4 linked regions of the Caenorhabditis elegans genome follow. The protein of the gene in region 1 interacts with the protein of each later gene in a pairwise test. Each region holds a gene or a part of one and is shown in the gene's direction. Other genes may lie near its edges.

Region 1 (7,776 bases):
TTTCTTTACATCTTGCGCCCCCGGGCGACAGATAGAGATGATGCCCGTTGCTGCCTGCCGCCACTGCCGCTGCTGCTGCCATCGACAGTTTCTTCTTCTACATCGTTTTTCTTCTTTTTTCTTCATCGTATTCCCAAAAAAGCTTGTTTGGCACCCCGCGACACACGCACTATCTCACCCCCTTTCTCTCTTCTTGTAAATGCCATTCAGAAACCGTCACCTCCTCCCCCCCTCGATCCCCGCCATCTCATTTTTTCATTGCCATCCGCGTAAAGTCGTTTTTCCGCCCTGCCACCCCCAGGTGTAATCCGCCCCATATCAGTTTGCCAGCTTTTGCACTTTTAGTTCTACCGTATCCAATGCCTGCGGTGCCCCACCCCCAGAGATTCCTTCACTCCATATTTGCTCCCCACCATTCCTCACACCCCAAATTTCTCTTCCTATCCTAGAACCTAAAACATAGAACCTAGATTTATGTATCGCAATCTTACCGTTCTCCTCCGCAAACGTAACGTCATACTAGATGCGAGTTTGCTCTCCAGTCACTTCACCCATCTCAATTACCTGTTAGCACCATCTGTCCATCTAGACCACCTTCCTGCTAGTCTCGAACTTGTAGTGGTGGTTACGCGCAATTGACAGTAATCCAGTATAGACACACAGCCATGCAATCATCAACATAATTGTGCTATAATCCACCTGGCATTACTTTGCCTTCCTTGAGATCCTGTTCTTTTTTCTCAGGTTCCTGAATCTTATTTTTGTGCTGGTTTCAGATTTTGATCATTGAAAATTTTCATTTTATAACATTTTTACCCTATCCACCCAATCCATCAAATCTCTTTTTCGTGTTTATGATGCAAATTTTGTGTAATAGTATATATGTTTTGATGTTTCGTATCTTACACACCATGTCTGGATGCGATAATTAATCCATATTAGTTCCTCCTGTTTTTTTTAATGTTCATCAACTTTTTTTTCTTATTGCTCCTCGTAAAGGTCCGTAAGATACCTACTGCCCAGCGAATACACACTTTACCACTTCTCTTACAAATATAGTAAGCACACAGTAGCTCGTCGCTATGAGTGCAAGTCAAATCCGGAGAAGCAGCTTATGGAGTACACGGGGAGGCATCGGGTTGAGATGTTTGGCCAAACCCGGAAACCGTATCTCGGTCCTTCTTCGCCTCCGCCGCCGCGAGACGACAAACAACTAGGCGAGGTCACCTAGCTGCTCTCAAAACCGTGGACCAGGCTCTCGCTAAATCAAACACACTCATAACAAGTCCAACTCGCAGTGGTTGCTAAAGAAGCTGGCTATCCATAAATTACTGCCTACTCCCCAAATTCGTATCCAGGCGCGTAACCAGTAATTTGGCGAGCCGTTGTAAATGCTTGTCAATGTGATCATACCTATGGATCCGGCTCCTCCTTTTCCCCCTCCTCCGCTTTTTTCGCTCCGATAATACATATTTTTCCAGTCACTCTTAGTATTTCCATTTTCCAATTTTCCCATATATTCCTATATCCGCCTGTTACCATTTCCTATACATTTCCTTTCTTATCTTCTGCCATCCGTAAACACACCTGATTATTGTGTGCAAGTCTCGTCGTGCCATATTCCTCGCTTTTTTCCCCTATTTTTCCTCGTTGTTCTTCTTTTTGTCGCCCATTTTCGTCTCATTACCAGATATTCCCTGTCAGGGTTTTTCATTTTGCTATGGTTATCATTTCAGTGATCTCAACAATGGATGAACTGAACGCTTGCACAGAATGCGGATTCACGACTACTGTATTTTCCGAGTTTCAAGGACATATAGGTAACCAACCTGTTCGGTGATACATGAATGCCAATTCGTTTGAAACATCCACCTACCCGCGCTTTGTCCATCTTTTTTTCATCTTAGAACGGAGACAAACCCGTAAAAATTCGGATTTGTAGCGGTTTAGTGAGCGCTTCAACCCATTAACTAACCCGCTTCTATTGCGTTTCACATTTAGCAACATTACCCCCTAATACTTTTTTTTTGCAGAGAAGCACGAAAACGAGCACAGCAGGTCTTCAAGCGGAGAAATGTCTAACTCGCAGGTATGTTATGGGAGAGTAAAATTCATCCAGAAGAGTGAGAGCGTGTGAGTGAGAGATATAGAAAAAAGGTTGCGTCATAATGCCATATTTGCCTAATTAGTGCCAGAGGTAGAGAAGATATGTGAGGGAACAACAGAACGTGGAAAAAATGAAGAGGGGAGGGATGTTGGATGTGACGTTGTAACACGTCTTCCAGACATGCCCCCTGAGACTCGTTAGAAACATTGAGACCAAGGCTTTTCAGACAATCGAGTGGGGAGATGGTATTCAGTCGTCCACGCCGTCGCCACGGTCCACGCCCCCTTCAGATCCAACGCCGAGTCCGGACTCGGATGAACATCTTGAACATCACATTTCGATAACAGAAATCACAAACACTCTCATCAAAAGTAAGTTTTCTTTGAATTGCATTTTCTTACACACTGGAATGTATTTCTATTGATGGTTAATTACCAAGTACCAATATGCAATTGTGAAACCTAAAAATTTCAGAAGAACCAGGCACCAAAGGACAAAAGACGGTTCACGTTTGCCCGCACTGTAATTTCACCACTTGTATGTCGCAACACATGAAAAGCCACTTGGTAGGTTCAAGGATTTTTACCCGTTTTCTTGAAAGCATTCTCTTGTTCTATAGGTGACGGAAGAGTGAAAGATACTTTCAGTACATTATTACGCATGTTCCCAAGGGTACAAATTAATTTTAGCATGTAAATCTGTTGATGGATATGAAAGTCTTTTCAATTTCCCTCTTTTCCACTTTTCATCAATTCCTTGTAAGGTGGGTCCTGTAAGTCAACACTCCGTGAACCTTTTCTCTTCTCCCACTCGCTCCATGCCGCTTTTCTCACAAACTACTGTTTACTTTCTATCTACTGTCCAGTTAACTGCGTCTCTCACTTGACCCTACTGTTTTTTGTTCCGACGGCCAATCCCATCACTTCCCGAACGGTCATCGGGATGAGTAGTAGTGGAGTGGTATGGGAGAAGGAGGCAGGCTCCTCATATATTGGCTTTTCTTCTTAAGGATGTTGCCTTTCATGTGAGCCGGTGTCATACTAATTGGTTAAGGCAGAATCTTCCGAGAAACCAAACCAAAAAAAACATAGATTTTCCCTTTTTCGGTTATGTAGTGACATCAAGCGGTAGAGATTGGGATGGGTGGAAGAAGATGGGAGGAAAAAGAGGCGTTTTTGGAAAAAGAAACGGGAAGACCAGATACGGGGGCAGTACAAAAAACGTGATGACCTTAGAAATCACATGACATACCAGTGAAGATTCTTGAACATTTCAGGAAGCGCATGAACGCCATCAAGGCCAAATGTACCAATGCGACATCTGTAAAATGCAGTTCAGCCAGAAGGTGAGCAATTTTTAAAACATTTTCTGAATCGGAATCTGGTTTTCAAACACTCGACAACTTTTGAATCATTTGGATTTTCCAAGTATGGTTATCGTGCTGATTGATCTTCTTCTTTGATTCCCTTTTCACTTTCTTCCTGTGGTTTATCAATGTTGCGTTTTCAGGCTAACATGCATCGTCATCGGATGCGCCACAGCGGTGTGAAGCCATACGAGTGTCGTTTTTGCAAAAAACGATTTTTCAGGAAAGATCAGGTATGCTTGTCTGGCATATTTTTTATTACCCTCCACCTCCTAGCCCCACCATTTAACGGCTGTTGCGTAAGAAGCCGCTGCCGCCTTCCGTAACTCAAAAATCGTGTTTTATCTTCAATTTACGTAATCAAATGGAAAGTGAAACTGATCTCCCGTAAGGAAAGGGAAATTGAGGGAAGAAGGAGGCGGCGGATTGCCGCCTGAAGGTCGTTTTCAATTTGGATATTTTCACTTTCCCGGAAATAAGAAGAGTCTCTTCCATGGATGGCAGGGAACTGCCGCAGTGCCCATCAACCATTTCTTCAAGCGCTCTGATGATATCTGTTTGCCCAAAACCGTTCTTGAAGGTCGACGAGCCTGAAGAAAACAGGAAAATCGGGGGGAACCAATTTGACGGTATTGGTGTCAGGTTATGCCGTCGAATATGAAAACGGTTGGCGCGTCTTTCTTCTCCGATTCTTCATACTATCCGACGACGTTGGTGAAGATGAGAAGTAAAAGACCTTGACGATAGCACGCGCATTTTCTTCGGAAGATCCTACCTCCCATCCTACCTTCTAGCATCTTCTCGATGTCTCCATATTTTTGCCGCTCTTTACTGTGTACCTTACCCCCAGGGCCAATCAGTAAAAAAAAGAAGAAATACCAACCGTCGGCGGTTTTTTTTTTGTTCTAGCTGCGTCTCTGATTGGTTCCCGAAAAGTTGAAAGCCATCACCCTCGCTCGCATCAAAAGGGGTTTTTATAATGAAAGACAAAGGTTGCGGGGCGAGGAGAAAACCAGAGAAAATTGTAAATTGTAATATTGTGTGAAAGTGAAAACCGATTTTTAGATGTTAAAAACATACCGTAGTCATGTTTTAAACATGTAACTTAAAATAAACCTATAACTTTCAGATGCAAGAGCATTCAATGACACATATCAAAACGGGTTTTGGTTTCGACTGTCCAGTATCACAATGTAACATGCAGTTTAGTCAGCACAATGCACTCCGAGCACACTTGGAAGAAACGCACACAATTTCGTCAACAAATCCCGCGTCATGTAAGCGATGTAATTTGATGTTCGCCAATTCGCGACGTCTTCTCCTTCATTTCCAGACAAGACATGACGATTCTGAGGTAAGAGATGTAACTTCAGATTACACGGAAACGTAACACATGATTAGCGAGCAGAACCTGAGCCTTATTAGGTGATGTTTTTCTCGTTCTCGGAGCTTAATTCGGTTGCCCCAAGAGACGCACTTTCCGTGGAATCTCTCTCATCATGTGATATCCTGAACGTGAACTCTTATTTCTCATTCTGATTTTCAGTCTTCTCCGAAAAAAGAAAACACGCCAAAAAGGAAGAAGCTGTCGAATGGAAATGCTTTGCCAATGGATCCTGCGAACATGAGCATAACAGAACAGTTGCAAAGAATGGTGAAATCAGAGTTTAGCCCTCCAAACACCGACACCTCCGATAACTCCACAAGTTCTGAATTCGACAAAATTGTAAGAATCTTTCTTTCGTTTCTTTTTGAATAAAAAGCATTTCCATGATTCCATGGTTTTATTTTCAGCCACCAAGCTTCCCTATGGCTAACCCAGATATTTTGTTGATGTGTCTAAACCAAATGAACCAGTTCAATGGATTCGGAGAAAACATCCCAAGACCAATGCTCAACATTCCAAATATTCCATTGCCGGTATCAATGAAACCTTCACACTTTCGCTAATTAACCTTTGCATTTCAGGCTCTTCACAACATTCCAGCAGTGGCAGCGATTGTGAAGCAGGATCAGGTGCAACTCTGGTCAGAGCAGACGTCAAGCTCTGTGAGTGTCAGTGCTCCAAGTCCGAGTGAACAGTCGCACTCGCCGCCAGCCAATGAGTCATCACTTTCGTTAACTGAAAAAGAGAAATCACCGACTCCCGAAAAAGAAGACGAGGAGAATGTGGTATGTGTTATCGCTAATAACAACTTGTTATTGAAAATGTCACCATTTTGTTTACCTTTTTTCGAAGTGCAATTAGAATTGTGAGCATCGTCAACAGAGTTTTTTTTTCCAAAAATTGGGACTTTTGATCCATTTCTTTGTTGATGCCAAAATTTGGTTTTATCAACCTTAAAAACATAGACTGATTAAATGATTGCCAATTTGTTGCAACTTTCGGAACGTTCTCATTTGAGAAAAAATCTAAAAAAAGAGATAGAAAAACCGAACATTACACCATGTATAGTTTGATGAGGAGGTTTTCAATTTCTCGTAGATGTCACAAGTTTTCTTTGAAATCTGAAGGATGATGGATTCTCTACATCACCCACCTTATCAGAACTATCAACTTTCTCTTCCGAAATTTGAATTTAAAGGAAAACTATAGGTTTTAGGTATTTTGAACATTTTGCAATGAGACTTCTCAAAAAATTTCAAAAAAAAAGAGTTAATTTTAGCTAAAAGCCCGGCCTTTGCCTTTTCCGGTTCGCAGCAGCTGATACCATTCAAAAAAAAGTTCGGACTGCTGCAGTTTTTAGCTAGAATTTGGCAGGTTTTTTCAAAAATTCAAATTTCGATTAAAAAAAACTTTTTAAAAAGTTTCTGTTAGAAACTTCATTGCAAAGCTCGTTAATTCGTGCGCTTTCTGTATATATACTCAAAACACTCATAACCGTTACTCATTTAATGGCATCTAACTCTAGAATTATTTTAGGAATGCTGTCATTGCGGAATGATGTTCTACGACAACACAATGTACCTGCTCCATAAAAGTCTTCACTCGGACGGTGATCCTTTCAAATGCGCATTGTGCGGAACTCAGTGCGGCGAGAAGTACATGTTCACTACTCATGTCATTTTTGCCGATCATAGTACTCAAGCAACGACTTCCGCCTGAATTCACCATCATCCAAGAAATATCCCCCCGATTGCCTTTCAGTTTTAGTAGTCAGTCTAGCGAATCCAAAACACCCCCATTCTTTCATCCACATTTTAATTTTTGTTTTTTTTTTCGGTTTTCTTCGGTTTTTTTCGATGCATATTCACAGTCAATTCTGATTACCTCTTTATTTGTCACTTTCTTTCTTCATAACAGGGAAACAACGAATGATTCTGCTTCTTCTCATTGATTCTCAACAGCTCTTTGTCTCTATCAAAAGTATTTGCCCCGTGTTTTTGTCTATTTCTCATCAATATTAAACCATCAAATATCATTATTTACATTTTTAAAAACTTTCTTCATCTTCTCCTGATTCTGCTCTCTATCTTGTTTCAATTCATTTGCACACGTGTCAAAAGTCATTTTGGACCCGTTAATTTTTTCCGTAACCTTGCATTGTTAGGTTTTTGTTGTTAGTGTTTTATTTTCCTTTCTCACCACCACCCCTCATCAAAATTTGTACAATTTCAATGATTTCTTCGAATGTATTTTAAACTAGTGAACTTCAACTGATATTCAGAATTTTTGAAGGCCTCCTTATCTGTTCCACCCATCCCAAACATTTCTTTCCGATTAGAATAGTAATTTTATCAAGCTTTCTCTCTGTCCCACTGTCCCATCAATTTTCTTCCCATTTCAAAATAAATTTTGTTGAAAACATACTGGAGAATAGAATACTAGAAAAAAGTCATGGTGGCTAGGAAAACGGCTAAATGGATTGGCAGGCAGTCTGTGATTGACATTGGCCCAGCGTATATGGTTATGAGTCGTGTGCTGCTCACTACGGACAATCCGGTTCAGTTGGGCAGTGTCCCACGGGGACTTGCCAAGAACCCAATGCATCAACATTGTGCTCTGCAGGACCAACAATAGTGGCTCTCTTTCTCATATTTTTGTCAAGATTAGCGACTACTAGATCAGTTTTATTTATAGCCATTTGTAAGGACATTTGAACTATTTATGGGTTGTTGTTTTATTTCAAACTGCATCTATATTTGTTAGCAGATTGATAAAAAGTAGAACTATCACAACACAAATTGCAGGTGCCTTTCGTCAGTTATCTGACAGAACATGATTGAGAAACACGGTTGGCGAAGTTTCCAGTTTTTGCCATATTTTTTTTACAATTTCGCATTAAACCTAAAAATTCATGTT
Region 2 (4,757 bases), on another chromosome or scaffold:
TTATTATCAGTTCTAATGGCACATCATGTGTCAAGTGATGAGCACCATAACTTTAAATTTTCAAGGTTTTCGAAATATTTTACTCTTGTTCAACAATTCTTCATTTCAAAATGTGACCGTTTTCTTTCTACACTTATGACACTTTTAATACTGTATCACTTGAATGTCTCTAACTTTTTTTCCATTTTCCTCACAACTTTTCCATTCTTCTATTTTTCTGTAGAATGGACGAGCCCACCTTTTATTACTCCTATATAAAAGCTCTTCTCGGTGCGCTCACCTGGAGCTATGAGGAGAAGAAAAACGGAAAGAATAGAAGAAAAGAAGCGGCAATTTTGTCCCGTCCCTTCTTCCAAAAAGATGAGGACCATGAAGAAGAAAAGCGCAGCACATCCGTCAGAAGAAGACCACAATTGGTGGAGGGGCACACCTCTACTTTAAAATAGCTCCCATTTGCTCGCTTTTACTGGAAACTCTGGGGTCACTGATTTTTTGGATGGTTCTAGACTGTCCTCAAATGTATAATTTCAAAGCTGCGGCAAACTGCTACACCCTGTTGTATTTTCCGTCCAGCAATTTACTTCCAAAAATTCAAACTAAGTCAATAGTTGTTATAGTTTTTAAGTTGGTCTTTGATTATTGAGCAGTTCGGTAAACTCGCAGCCGACCTCGATGGAGTCTCGCGATAGCCTACTCCTGGAAAAAACGTTTGTCTTCTGCTTTCACCTCATGATATCAGGAAACTTATTACAGACATTCAGCCGACAAATAAACGGCTTGGCTTCTACTAGAAATGCTCAATAGATTCTAATTTAGTAGGTGTAGATATTTTCACTTTTGTTTATTTTTCTAAGTATCGAAGTACATATGTTAGAAAGTAAATAAAAATTGCTATTCTACTTTAAGAATTTTCTATATTAAAATAGTCTTTAGTAACGTGGGGTTTTCGAAACTTGCAACTTTTCAAGTGAAGATGCTCCTCACCTGAAGCATCCTGTCACTCTACCGATTGGCTGATGGGCGTGTCGTCTTCCATCTCTTCCACCCGCCCACTTTTTGAGACAGGAGAGGCTCTCGCTCCTCTCGCATCCACAAATGGAAGGCGCCTCTTTCCATCTTCCTTTCTTTTTTTTCTGGTTAGTTGAAGTATCCTTAAAGTATCTTGACGTTTTTACTATATATGACTTCTGGAGAGACATTCGAGTTTTTGGATCAAATATAGAATGTCAAATTTTGAAGAGCAATCTTCTCATATGTCAATTTTTCAATAAAATTGTATCCTACATTGTGGTGGTGTAGAACCCTCAAAAAATAATCTCTAAATTAAGAATTTCTTGATTTTAAAACTGACTAGCAAATTTGTCATGAAAAATCTCAAACGAATTTCCTACAGTTCATCTACCAAATGAATTGGGCTTGTAAACTTTTTCACCATCTACTAAAAAATTCAATAAAATAATAATCTCTTCCCAAACTACACCTCCCTCCAATATCTCTCAGCTTACTCCTAACTCCTATCCCAAATTCGTACATCTACCGTACCATTCCTCCTCCCTGTTCGTTCTCAATGACAAAGCCAGCCTTGAACAGCCATATCCAACTTTTTCGTTGCATTGTTCTCGTTCACAAGATGTATTACTCATCTTTCGCCCCAAAACTGTTCTTGTAATTTGTACAGTTCTTGTTTCTTCCCACGTACAGTTTCCTAAGTTTTCAGGATGAGCATCGACACAGACTTCCTCACGAGTGTTGAGGTAAAGGAGGATGAGCTACATGGAAATGTGCTCATTGCAGTAACTCAAATTGCACTCGGAAGGACCATCGGTGTGATTGATAAGGTGAGCTTTTGGTGTACAATTTTTACGCCGTAGACATTGTCTTAGAGGTGTCCGCTAGAAAAAGAAGTATAAGCTTATTCCCGGGCGTCTAAAAAACTCCACCGGAAAAAATACAGGTCGCTTGAACTGAAATATCTTATAGCTTGAGTAACCTATGAAATAAGCTTTCAGATGTTACACTCATATTTTGTTAGTTAGTAGTTATATGATAACAGTAATTTTAGGTTGTAATTGATAAAATAATGACTTTTTTAAATTAACAAAACTTTTTTTAAAATATTTTTACAAGCATTTTAAATTGATACCTTGGTGCCTAATCTACCTAATCTACAGTACCTTCGCCAACATTTTCAAATCCTTTCCTAATGATTCAACGTTCGAATTACAAATTCTTCCCAGAACCCAAAACCGCAATTATCGGGACCCTGAAATGTTTGGCGCCATGTGTTCCTCCCTGCTTCTTCTCCTCAAAAATTCCTTACACCTGTCTTTCCACCTTTCCCGCTCCCCCCGTCCATTACCACTTTGTTAACCTTGGGGGCACACTAGTAACCATTACATTAGGATTTACAAATCGGAACACCTGGTGCCTTGGTGGATGGGGGATCCGAGATGGGAAAAGAGACTCGATGATCGACTGTAATTGATGAATACAGTCGCTGATGGGAAAATGGATAATTGCTAGGTTTCCATAGGAAGAAGAATTTGAGGAGCTCTATCAATAAAGGAGAGGGATTGAATCCGTTGATCAAGCCGTCAATTTCCTACTGTAGCTGTCGTCGTTATCCAACTTCGTCACAATTCCATCATTGAATTAGTGTATTTCCCCCAGTTGTTTATCATCTAGAGCCGGCGACGGGTCTCTCACACTGATTGGCTTATCACGCACGCACACCACATCAAGCGGCAGTCACTCAGAATCAGAAGCCACTGAAGAAAAAGTTCATCATCTTTTGCGAGAGAGCCACTGATTGCTTATGGTTGCTTGGTGAAGGCAAACCACCTGCTCTCACAGTGGGAAAATTAGATTCCAGAAGCGATAGAGAGAGCGACAGCTCCTGCTTCTTCTTATTAGATATTGATGGGTTTTTGGGCTGAAGCTCACGGAGCACAGAGAGTGGTGAGTTGGCCGAAATGAAATAAGATTTTTTCGAGAATGAGTTTAGAATGTGTGCGATTTGTGAAATAATTGAGGGAGGAAACCCAGTACGCCCAACAAAACCCTTGTTGAGGTACTAAACTGTTTCTGCGAAGATCTGTGGGAAAATATACAGAGATTGCAGGAAAAATAATGCAGTCTTGTAACTGGTGTCACACGGTGTGACGCGCGTGACGTCATCTTTTTCCAGTCCGCAATATATCAAATGAAGTGAAAACTTAAAATTTGGATATGCAGTTTTGAAGAACGCATCGCCAAATACAGGGATTCTTGAAACTTTAATTTTTTATAACTATTCGTGTCCATTTTTTGTAAAATTAAGTCCGAAGAGACATCACCGTTGTCTTACAAGCGGTCATAGAGAAACCTACCCAGCGTGCCAATCGTTTCTTTAATCCATGTTATCACGAGGCCGTCGAAGGTCACCTTTCAGGCAGGCATACATTTTTTTACTACGATTTATGTAGATCCTAGATTCTACACTCATCATTTAGAAAAAGTACTAAAAACAATCACTTACATTAATTTTATAAATATTATTATTTTAGGCTACACCGAATGATTCGAATGCTCTTCTCATCTTGAACCTGATTAAGGAAGCTGATGACGGAGAAGATGCCAATATTTGTATGAGGCAGGAGGATAGAAAGGTGATTATTAGATAAATTTAATGAGGAAGTTATCTAACTATAAGAAAAATTTCAGACTTTTCTACAAACCAGTAAGATTATCAATATTGGAGAGCGTCTTCTTCTACAAAGACTGTCCGAAGAGGAGTGTGATGAGGAGGATCAGGATGATCTTGAGAATTTAATTTTGTTAAAAGATGAAGATCGGTGAGTATGACCCTTGAAAGAAACAAGAAAAAGAGCATGCTAAAAAGGTATGATTTTTCTCACCTTTGAAATTGGAACGATAACTGAACAAGTTGCAAAAACTGTAATTTTCCGGAATTTTTTCTATGATTTGAAGTTCTGTGTTGCTATACATAGAAGGATGTTTGAATTACACATAAAACAATTTCTAAAAAGCAGATTGAGTATACCTTTAATTTTTGAGTTGTTGAGATCAGCGTTAAAAAATTTCAAACCGGTTTTGTCGGTCTTACACAGGCGAATATTCGAAAATAAATCTCGATTTCTAACGGAAAAGTAACGGAAGAAAGATGTGAATCTTCATGAAAATCTTCTGTCATTTTCTTCTCATCGTCCTACTTTCTAACTCCCGTCGTTTTCTCGATAGTTTTCACTGGCGCGGTGAAAGTAACGGATTTCCGATAAGAGCACATCCTTCAGCATCTCCAAGTGAAGCCCGCCCGCTTTTTTTGTGTCCCGTTCATTTACATATAGATTCTACCGCTTCTGGATGACAAATTCGTGTCGGTTTCCGGAGGAGCCCTTTTTTGGGTATTTGAGCCCCTCAAAGGAAATCGTTGATTTATTTTGAGGGGTGTGCATCGGGGGAAGGAAGCGGATCTAGATTTTGCATCTTTTTTGAGAATCAATCGTTTTTTTTGCGGAAAATATAAATTTTTATCTTTTTTTCCGAAATCTTTATATCGCTAACTTAATTTGTGTTATTACCATCTTTTCTATGTTTCTTAAATTTTTAGACGATGATTCCTTGGTATCCCAAAAGTTTAGGTTTCAATTTTTACGTTAGACCTTGAACTTGCCCGATTAGATTTGAAAAGTTTGGGTTAATTTTAATATTTAATAGATTTTTCTAAATCGTTATTCGTATCAAACTATCTAGACATT
Region 3 (3,511 bases), on another chromosome or scaffold:
ATTTAGGGTGAATTAAAAATATTTCCAAGATTCAAGTTTTTTTGGTTAGACCCTTATTAATTTTTGCGTGCTGACGTCACAATTTTTCTGGAAAAATATTCCCGCATTTTTCGTAGATCAAACCGCAATGAGACAGCCTGACACCACGTGTATCGGTTTATTTTTAAGATACCACATGGAAATTGACAAATTCTCGATTCACCATGACTAAAACTAGAATATTAATAAAATTTTAGCTATAAGTATTTGTCTGTTGCTTCTCGACAAAGCTGTAGAAAAAGTTTCGAAAAATTGAATTTTTGAATTTGAATTTTTGATTTTTTTGATCCCAAGTTTTTTTCCAGTTCGTTCCAGTAATAATTATATATATATCTAGGCAAATAAATCTCCCCTCGCTTGAAATAAAAAAAAATAAACTCAAGACATATCAAATAAGCAATCAACTTTCATGTCCGCTATATAAGGTCTGAAACATTTATGGAAAAAGTTTGTTTGCCACAAAGATTTATTCGTTGACATTTTTTAAGAATGTTCCCAAGATGGAAGTCATGAATTTATACTTTCTTGGAATAATTTTATTACCAACTGTTTTCTGATTTTTTTTTGGTTAAAAATGTCCCCCCGTCTCATTTCATTTTCCCGCTAGAATATATTTTTTCTCCTGCAACCTATAAACTTCCGATAATTGATGATATTTAAATAAAAGTGTTCAGTGATATTACGGAAAAAATGCAAAAACCTCAAACTTTCCAAAATAACGTACGACTTTTTAAAAGTAAGTAATTTACATTTAACATGCGTAGTATTATGTTTCTCTAGTTTTACATTTTCCTCAAGTTCTAATAGGAATATATCAAACTTCAAAAGAAATTTAGAGCATTTGGGAGCAATTTGGGCTCGGAAAATTTTTTTGGTTTTTTTATTGTATTTTTAAATTAAAAAAAAAAGAGCCGTGAAATTGCTCAAAAAAAAAAAGGTTTTTTTGCGTGCGGGTTGCATATCCTCATTTTAAAAGTAATTTTTTAGGCTATAAAAATATAAACTTGTGAAAGATATGTTTTTTTCTGGATTTTGTGAATTTCTGGAAATTTCTCTTTCTTTTTTTTCTACCCTTCCCTCACCCCCGCCTGAGCTTATTCTGAAGCCAACACCTAAGCCTAAGCCTAAGCCTAAGCGTAAGCCTAAGCCTAAGTCTGAGCATAAGCCTAAGCCTCAGCCTAAGCCTCAGCCTAAGCCTAAGCCTAAGCCTAAGCCTAGGCCTAAATTTAAGTGTAGCCTTAAGTCTAGACCTAAGCCTAAGCCTAACAATAAGCTTATACTCAGTAGACATCCTTACAAAATTAATTCGATTTCCATGAAAAATTGTAGATCAACCTTGCTGGTCTATTCAAAAGGTTTTTTTCAAATAATTGAGGTTATATTTGAAAGTCCAAGTATTACAAATTAGCACAATAATATCACATGTGCCTCCGCTACTCCAAAATTTCAATTCAAATATTTAAGTTCAAGAAAAGTATTTAATAGTCAAGTATGAGAAACTCATTCCCTCAATTGCATCAAGTATCATCCCTTACCACCAATCCTCCTCTCCCCCTCCTCCTTCTCGAAATCCGGTCTCTTATTCAATTTGCTGGCTCATGCTCTTTTTGTCATCATCTCAGAACTCACCCATCTTCTTCTTCTTTCCACACCAATTGCGCAATCATTGTCGACCACTTTGGCAAATTGTCGTCGTCGTCAACCGTCAAAAGTCCCCCGAGAGTCCAGAATTTCAATTATTTGATTGAAGAGAAGGCGGGGACCTCGAGACCTACTGTATAGAGAAGTCTCTCAGAAGTTCTTTTCATTCGTGCAAAATGGAAACTGACTTGCTCTTCCAACTACTTCAACCCTATTTTGCACTGTTGACGTCTGATGTGAAGCCTCAGAGAAGAACTAGTCACCTGATAAAGGATATACTTGACTTACCAACTGTTAATGGAGAAATTGATGAATTTGGAAGATGCAGTAAGTTGATTTCTTTGGATTAGGTGTATGAAGTTTTGTAGTTGAAAAATAGACTAGTTTTGGGCATGGTGCATTTGAGGTGAAATACTATTCTTTTTGACATGGTGCATCGATTCGTATTTTCTGTAATAGTATTTCACTGGCCTTTTTTTGAGTAAAAATTACAAAAATTACAAGACACAATTTTTATTTCCTTTACTCTCAATTTTTGTTTTAAAATATTAGAAAATCTGAAAAAAATTAAAATGTTTTCGAAATTTTGGAAAAAAAATTTTTTGGAAATTTACTAATTTTGTTCAATGAATTTCGGAAAAATGCTACACGTAGAAAAATAATCAGCCGTTAAGAATATTTTTTCAGAATCCAGCCTCGACCAAGCCAAAGAGTCTCCTATAGAAAAATGTCAAAAAACAAAGAGAAAGAAGGCGCGGACGACATTTTCCGGGAAACAAGTATTCGAACTGGAGAAGCAGTTTGAGGCGAAAAAGTATTTGTCAAGTAGTGACAGAAGTGAGCTTGCAAAACGATTGGATGTCACGGAGACGCAGGTAGGCACGCAGCGCGGCACGCAACGCGGCACGCAACGCAGCCCGCAACGCAGCACGCAACGCGGCACGCAACGCGGCACGCAACGCAGCACGCAACGCAGCACGTAACGCGGCACTCAACGCATAGCTGAAATTTCTCAAATTCCAGGTGAAAATCTGGTTCCAAAACCGGCGTACCAAGTGGAAGAAGATCGAATCGGAAAAGGAAAGATCTGGAGAAATACCGGATGATCAGATTGTGAAGCCGCAATAATTTTATGTTGTTTTTATTTTTCAAAGAAAAAGTCGTGATATATCCCCTTCTATGAAATCCCGTGAACAATTAGTATTTCCAGTATCTTTTTTTCAAAATCAAGATCTCTTCCTTTACCTTGATCTCCATTCTTCTAATAAATAATTATTGCAAAAATATTTACTCGCTCTATTGATAGCTATATTGTGTACTCCACGTGGATATTTTTATTGAGGGTGCTCTTTCTTTTATGTCTCACACGTTAAAAATTAAAGATTACACGATAAAACATTTTATTGCAGACCCGATAAGTACGTCAAATTACACACACAAACACAATTTCCTACAGTCTAGGCAGTCATATATTTCGAGCAGTCAACACTGTTCTTAGTTGTTCTGAAGAATGGGCACTTGGTGTCTGGGCAGTTTAGTGGAATGGTAGGATCTGACAGATTGACTTGATGGTTCTTGGATCCGACTGGTTGAACGATATTGTTCCACAAGTGCTTGGCAACATTGGCGTGGCCTAGTTTTGAGAAATGGAAGCAATCCGGTGCAAACCAATCCAGATTGACTTCTCCGTCGGGCTTGAGTGGTGGAACTGTGATTCCATTGAAGAATGGTTGAACGACAAATGTAAAGTCATCTGTTGAGTCGAAGATTCCCGAGTCTTGAATCTCCTGCTGAGCATCCATGTAAAGATGGCAGGCAGCCGAGATGTCGG
Region 4 (4,579 bases), on another chromosome or scaffold:
GAGGAATTGTCGAACATCAATTTGTAAAAGAGAGAAGATCCCTACACTTCTTCAACCTATTTTTTCTTGATTCGTGTACCTACAAATGAGTAATTGGATGCCATTCATTCCACACTTCTTGATGCTTCCTGACACTCATAAATCACTGTAAAAGAGACAGGAAATAGACTTGAGTCAATTGCATAATCACTTACTAATCATTTACTCACTTTTTTTTTTTATTTATTACCACAGTGTTATGCAATTCTTATCTCCTTATCTATACTGTGAGAGGTGTGAGGATATTGGATCATTTATAGATTGAGAAAACTGATAATGAAATAAAAAATGTGATGTGTTTGGGTTATTTCCTTTTATAGTACATTATCATGTGTTGTGGCTCTGAGAATTTGTAATTCTCTATGTACTGTTAATTTGAAAATTTTATTTTAATCAAAAAATTAAAAAAGACTTTCAAAGTTAACAAAAGTAACACATTTTAAGTTTTATAAATAGTTTAAATATCTCTGTTTGCATGTTTACAGTAGGGAACTTCTAGAACTTTATTCTTTCATTTTGTAAGAGGCGTTGGAATCAATTCAGTTGCAGTTGGCATTTCTGAAACCTCAAGTTTCGGGAACTTTTACTTTTAAGAACAAGGTGAGGCACTGCTGGAAATCTCGAAGCAATTTCAGATGCCTTGCAAAATCTTGAAAACATATTAAGCGTATGCTTCAGTTGTAGACTTTTATATTTAGGTATCTTGACAATTCCAAAAAATAGTGTTTGGTGTCGACCAAGTATTGATAACATTTAATTTAGCTAGAAATAGCTAGAAGCTTAAATTTTTAGAAAATCTGATCAATGACCTAGAAAAACTTCAACGTTTTTCAAAATTCCCATAACGCCGTTTTAAAATTTCACAGAAATTCGTCTTTTGGTCATTTGAACTTTTTGTGCATACCAGGCATTTGGCTCAAAAAGCGGACTATCAGATGTTGGCAAAAGTTGGTAAGAGCTTTGACAATACTTGTCTTAGACTATGTTGTCGAAACCTTGCTCAATTTCTGCTCAAGTTTTAGCCCAAAGCCGAGATACTCTCCCTTTTTGCCATTTTTCCAATTTTCATGTAACAATTCCATATCTATAAAATCAGAGAGTTCATAAAATTGAGCACATTTCGACTGACTCTTGACAACTTGTCCAATGGGAAAAAGTTGGTCAAGATTTTGTTCCTAAAAGCGGCAACTTAAAAGCGAAAATTCATTCTGCTCAACTCTTCTACTCTTGGAGCCCAAAAGCTTACGGTACCTGTCGTTCTCACCCCATGTCCATCCAGCGCTGTCAGTGATGAATTGAAAAGGCGAGAGCAAGAGATGTGCTCTCGGCTCCACGAACCTCTTTGATCTATGCCGACAGTGGGGGAGATTGGAGAAGAAGCATGCTCCACCCTTCACGTGTATCAGTACGTCTGCGTCTTCTTGTGCGTGCCGCCCGGATTAGAAGACATGAAGTGGGAGGGCGATAGAGGAAATTCCGATGGCAATACCAACAATAGAATTTTGGCAACATTTTTTTACGACCTTCTAGAATTAAGGTAAATCTCTCTTTTTTTAAATCCACTCCTGGCACAAAGCTTCTCAAAGTTCTAAATGAAACTGGAACTTAACTTTAAATAAGTTGAACCTAGAGGTCACCTGAAAAAGTTATAGGAAAATTCTCTACTATTTAAAACGTAGTCTTTAAATTTTGCAAGTTATGTACTTCAAATATCAATTTTCCACCTTTGTGGCAGAAAACGTTTAAAATCTAGTTTATTTCGGAACCCTCTTATATTTTCGCAAAGTTATCGACTAAATTTCAGTATTTGAAACATTTTTAGATACTCGGCTTTGGCTTCTGCTGTTTTTTTTTTGTTGTAGGAATTTATTCAAATTACCTGCGTTCCGAAAAAACATTTTATGTTGCATTATTGGAGAATATACCATTGAAAAATTGAAAACATATCTGGAAGAAATGAGCCCAGATTAGATGTTGCACTTTATGAGGCGTTGCGAAGGCGCCTTTTTACCGTGTTCCCGTTATTCTGCCGATCATTTAAATAAATTGAATCTCACCCTCGTTTAATTTGTGAATCATAGAAGAAAACAAAATGTAATCTTACTTTAAAAAAGCTATTATCACAACTTTAAATTATCCAACTTAAAAGCTTCATTGTCAGGTGTGTGCGACAAATCTACCGAAATTGCTGAGTTCGTCAAATTTCGAGGATTGCCCACAGCCTCAATATTTCTGAAATTTCATTTTGTAATCAGTAGTCACATAAATATTCAAGACATGGAGAATGTGTGGAATAGTGTTAGGTAACATTTCAGAGCTTAGGCCTACAGAGAAAACACATAAAGACTTCTAGTCCATACTTCTTCTTGACCTCATAGATTGCTTACTAGTTTATATAAAGCTATTTAGAGCAATTATCCAATCTTATAAGGTAAAACCCGCGGGTCTTAAACCATGACCACCCACTTGAGCACACCCACAAAAACAATTCGTCTCTCGCAGATTGCTCCTCAATTTATCACCATCATCTTTTCTCTCTCCATTTCCAACTCTTTACTTTTCTTCTCTTTTTGTTCTGTTTCCGTTCTTAAGCTTTTGTTGTTTTCCTAGTTTTAATGATTTCCTAAGGATTAGGTACAAGTAGTTGATAGGTTGATCTAATTCCTTTTGATGAATGCAGTAATTAAAAAAAACAAGGTTCTTAAATTAAAATTTAAAATCTATCAAACGGTAATTATTGCTAATTCGTGTTCTGAAATTTATTGGTTTCAATTATATGTGCCCAGGAATTTTAATAAATTTTAAAGCTCTGATCACCTGTAAAAGAAATTGATGGTTGCTGAAAGTTCTTCAAAATTTTAAGAACTGAATCATCGTATTTAACTTTTGTGTTGAAAATTTGGGCTCTTGGGAGATATTGATCCGGTCATTGATTGCGATTGTACACGTATCTCTGAATTCTAGACTAGCAGCACAAATTGTTAGTTTTCTTGCTCTCACTACAATTGTTCAAATTTAAATACCTATTCTACTAGTTATTCGGTTTTTGAAGATATGTAGACTTTAGGAATATCTGAATGATCTACTTCAATGAAAAAAATTTGATCTCTTTTTTTAACTACTGCATTCATCTCTATCGTCCTCTTATTCTATTCCCTCATCCCTTCCGCTTTCTGAGACTCCACCCTTCGTCCAATAGGAGAAATGGGCGGGATCGGGGAAGGATGGCGCCCGGTATTCTGTCTCTTTTGCAATGGAAGAAAAGAGGAGAAAGAGGGAGACGTCACATTTTTAACAAATGTTCAACCGCCCCGACGCGCCTCTCGTCCTCATTTATTATATCACCTCGTTTCCCCTCCCTCCCCTCATCTTTTCATCTCTTTTCAATCAATTCTTATCAATCACTTTCACTCGTTTTCACTCCAGATGACCACATCAACATCACCGTCATCCACAGATGCACCGAGAGCTACAGCTCCTGAATCAAGCTCTTCGTCTTCATCCTCATCTTCTTCATCATCATCCACATCTTCTGTGGGTGCATCTGGAATTCCATCATCTTCTGAATTATCGAGTACAATTGGATATGATCCAATGACAGCGTCTGCTGCACTTTCTGCTCATTTTGGAAGTTATTATGATCCGACTAGTTCTTCTCAAATTGCTTCATATTTTGCCTCAAGTCAAGGACTGGGAGGTCCTCAATATCCAATACTCGGAGATCAGGTTAGTTACGAAACTTTAAAGGTAATTTTTAAAACAGTATTATATTTAAAAAAAAAACACTACAAATTTAAGTAGATGAAATGATATTTTAGAAAAGTTCAGCAATTTCGAATTTCGTAATCTTTTTAAGTTCTCTGAACGTCACCATACTTTAAGCAAGAGTTGGAGCGTTATAGTTAGGAAGCTCCTCTATTGGCAAAAATTAAATTTGTGTAAAATTTTAATAACTAAAATAGTGTGTGATTCGGGATAATTAAAATAAAGGAATGCTCACAGATTTATAGAAAGTCACAATTTTTTATTTGCCGCACTTTTGACAACCTTCAAATAATTCTAGTTTCTGCAAAGCGCTGAGACCGATTTGGTTAACTTTTGCTAATCGAATTTAATTTCTGAAAACAAACCATTTTGAAAAATAAACAGGTGCTCAGAGACAATTAGTTCTTGAAACATTTCGGGTCCATGTGGAATTTAAATTTCTTGAAAGTTTTTTTTTATTTCATCTGTTTTTTTTTAATTCAAAAGTTCTAACACCCTTTTGGCGCCTCCCACTGGTTTGAAACTTCTGTCATTTCCCGCCAAAAATTGAAAATCAATCAATTCCTCAGCGTTTCTGAAAATAATCTGACAACGCGATCAATTTTATTTTCTCTTTTGAAGTGAGTGGACTGGCGCCTGGTGACTACCATTGGAAGAGTAGGAATTGAAATAAAATTTATGAGAACGAGTTACAAAATGGAGAATAAGAGGAAGAAGAGTATTCAGATTGAGATTAATGATCGTTCCATCGATTTTTGTACTTTTTTAGATTCAC

Evidence for each region.
Region 2: the proteins of ztf-16 (region 1) and egl-43 interact in a two-hybrid assay, tested with the Caenorhabditis elegans proteins (one large-scale study listed by BioGRID).
Region 3: the proteins of ztf-16 (region 1) and ceh-9 interact in a two-hybrid assay, tested with the Caenorhabditis elegans proteins (one large-scale study listed by BioGRID).
Region 4: the proteins of ztf-16 (region 1) and lin-39 interact in a two-hybrid assay, tested with the Caenorhabditis elegans proteins (one large-scale study listed by BioGRID).

The regions. Positions count from the first base shown.
Region 1 is NC_003284.9:4,805,497-4,813,272, reverse strand, and holds ztf-16 (Zinc finger protein ztf-16), read left to right. Parts: upstream 1-1,732; 5' UTR 1,733-1,747; coding exon 1,748-1,820; intron 1,821-2,033; coding exon 2,034-2,089; intron 2,090-2,333; coding exon 2,334-2,478; intron 2,479-2,581; coding exon 2,582-2,673; intron 2,674-3,027; exon of another isoform or gene 3,028-3,165; intron 3,166-3,383; coding exon 3,384-3,452; intron 3,453-3,616; coding exon 3,617-3,706; intron 3,707-3,768; exon of another isoform or gene 3,769-3,909; intron 3,910-4,602; coding exon 4,603-4,827; intron 4,828-5,019; coding exon 5,020-5,199; intron 5,200-5,267; coding exon 5,268-5,393; intron 5,394-5,441; coding exon 5,442-5,645; coding exon of another isoform or gene 5,646-5,729; intron 5,730-6,396; coding exon 6,397-6,579; 3' UTR 6,580-7,275; downstream 7,276-7,776. UniProt on the Caenorhabditis elegans protein: Positively regulates the expression of ver-1 in the amphid sheath glia of amphid sensory neurons. Together with ehn-3, plays a role in somatic gonad development and is required for proper gonadal primordium assembly and somatic gonad precursor cell morphology.
Region 2 is NC_003280.10:9,953,468-9,958,224, forward strand, and holds the start of egl-43 (Zinc finger protein egl-43), read left to right. Parts: upstream 1-1,717; 5' UTR 1,718-1,718; coding exon 1,719-1,838; intron 1,839-3,543; exon of another isoform or gene 3,544-3,545; coding exon 3,546-3,647; intron 3,648-3,702; coding exon 3,703-3,833; exon of another isoform or gene 3,834-3,880; intron 3,881-4,757. UniProt on the Caenorhabditis elegans protein: Probable transcription factor, required for migration of the hermaphrodite-specific motor neurons (HSNs) from the tail to the gonad primordium during HSN cell differentiation. Required for phasmid neuron development.
Region 3 is NC_003279.8:564,737-568,247, reverse strand, and holds ceh-9 (Homeobox protein ceh-9), read left to right. Parts: upstream 1-1,659; 5' UTR 1,660-1,856; coding exon 1,857-2,007; intron 2,008-2,367; coding exon 2,368-2,555; intron 2,556-2,703; coding exon 2,704-2,808; 3' UTR 2,809-2,964; downstream 2,965-3,511. Other genes in the region: Y65B4BR.1 (Lipase_GDSL domain-containing protein), read right to left, coding at 3,138-3,511.
Region 4 is NC_003281.10:7,533,587-7,538,165, reverse strand, and holds the start of lin-39 (Homeobox protein lin-39), read left to right. Parts: upstream 1-1,533; 5' UTR 1,534-1,576; intron 1,577-3,465; coding exon 3,466-3,765; intron 3,766-4,579. UniProt on the Caenorhabditis elegans protein: Transcription factor.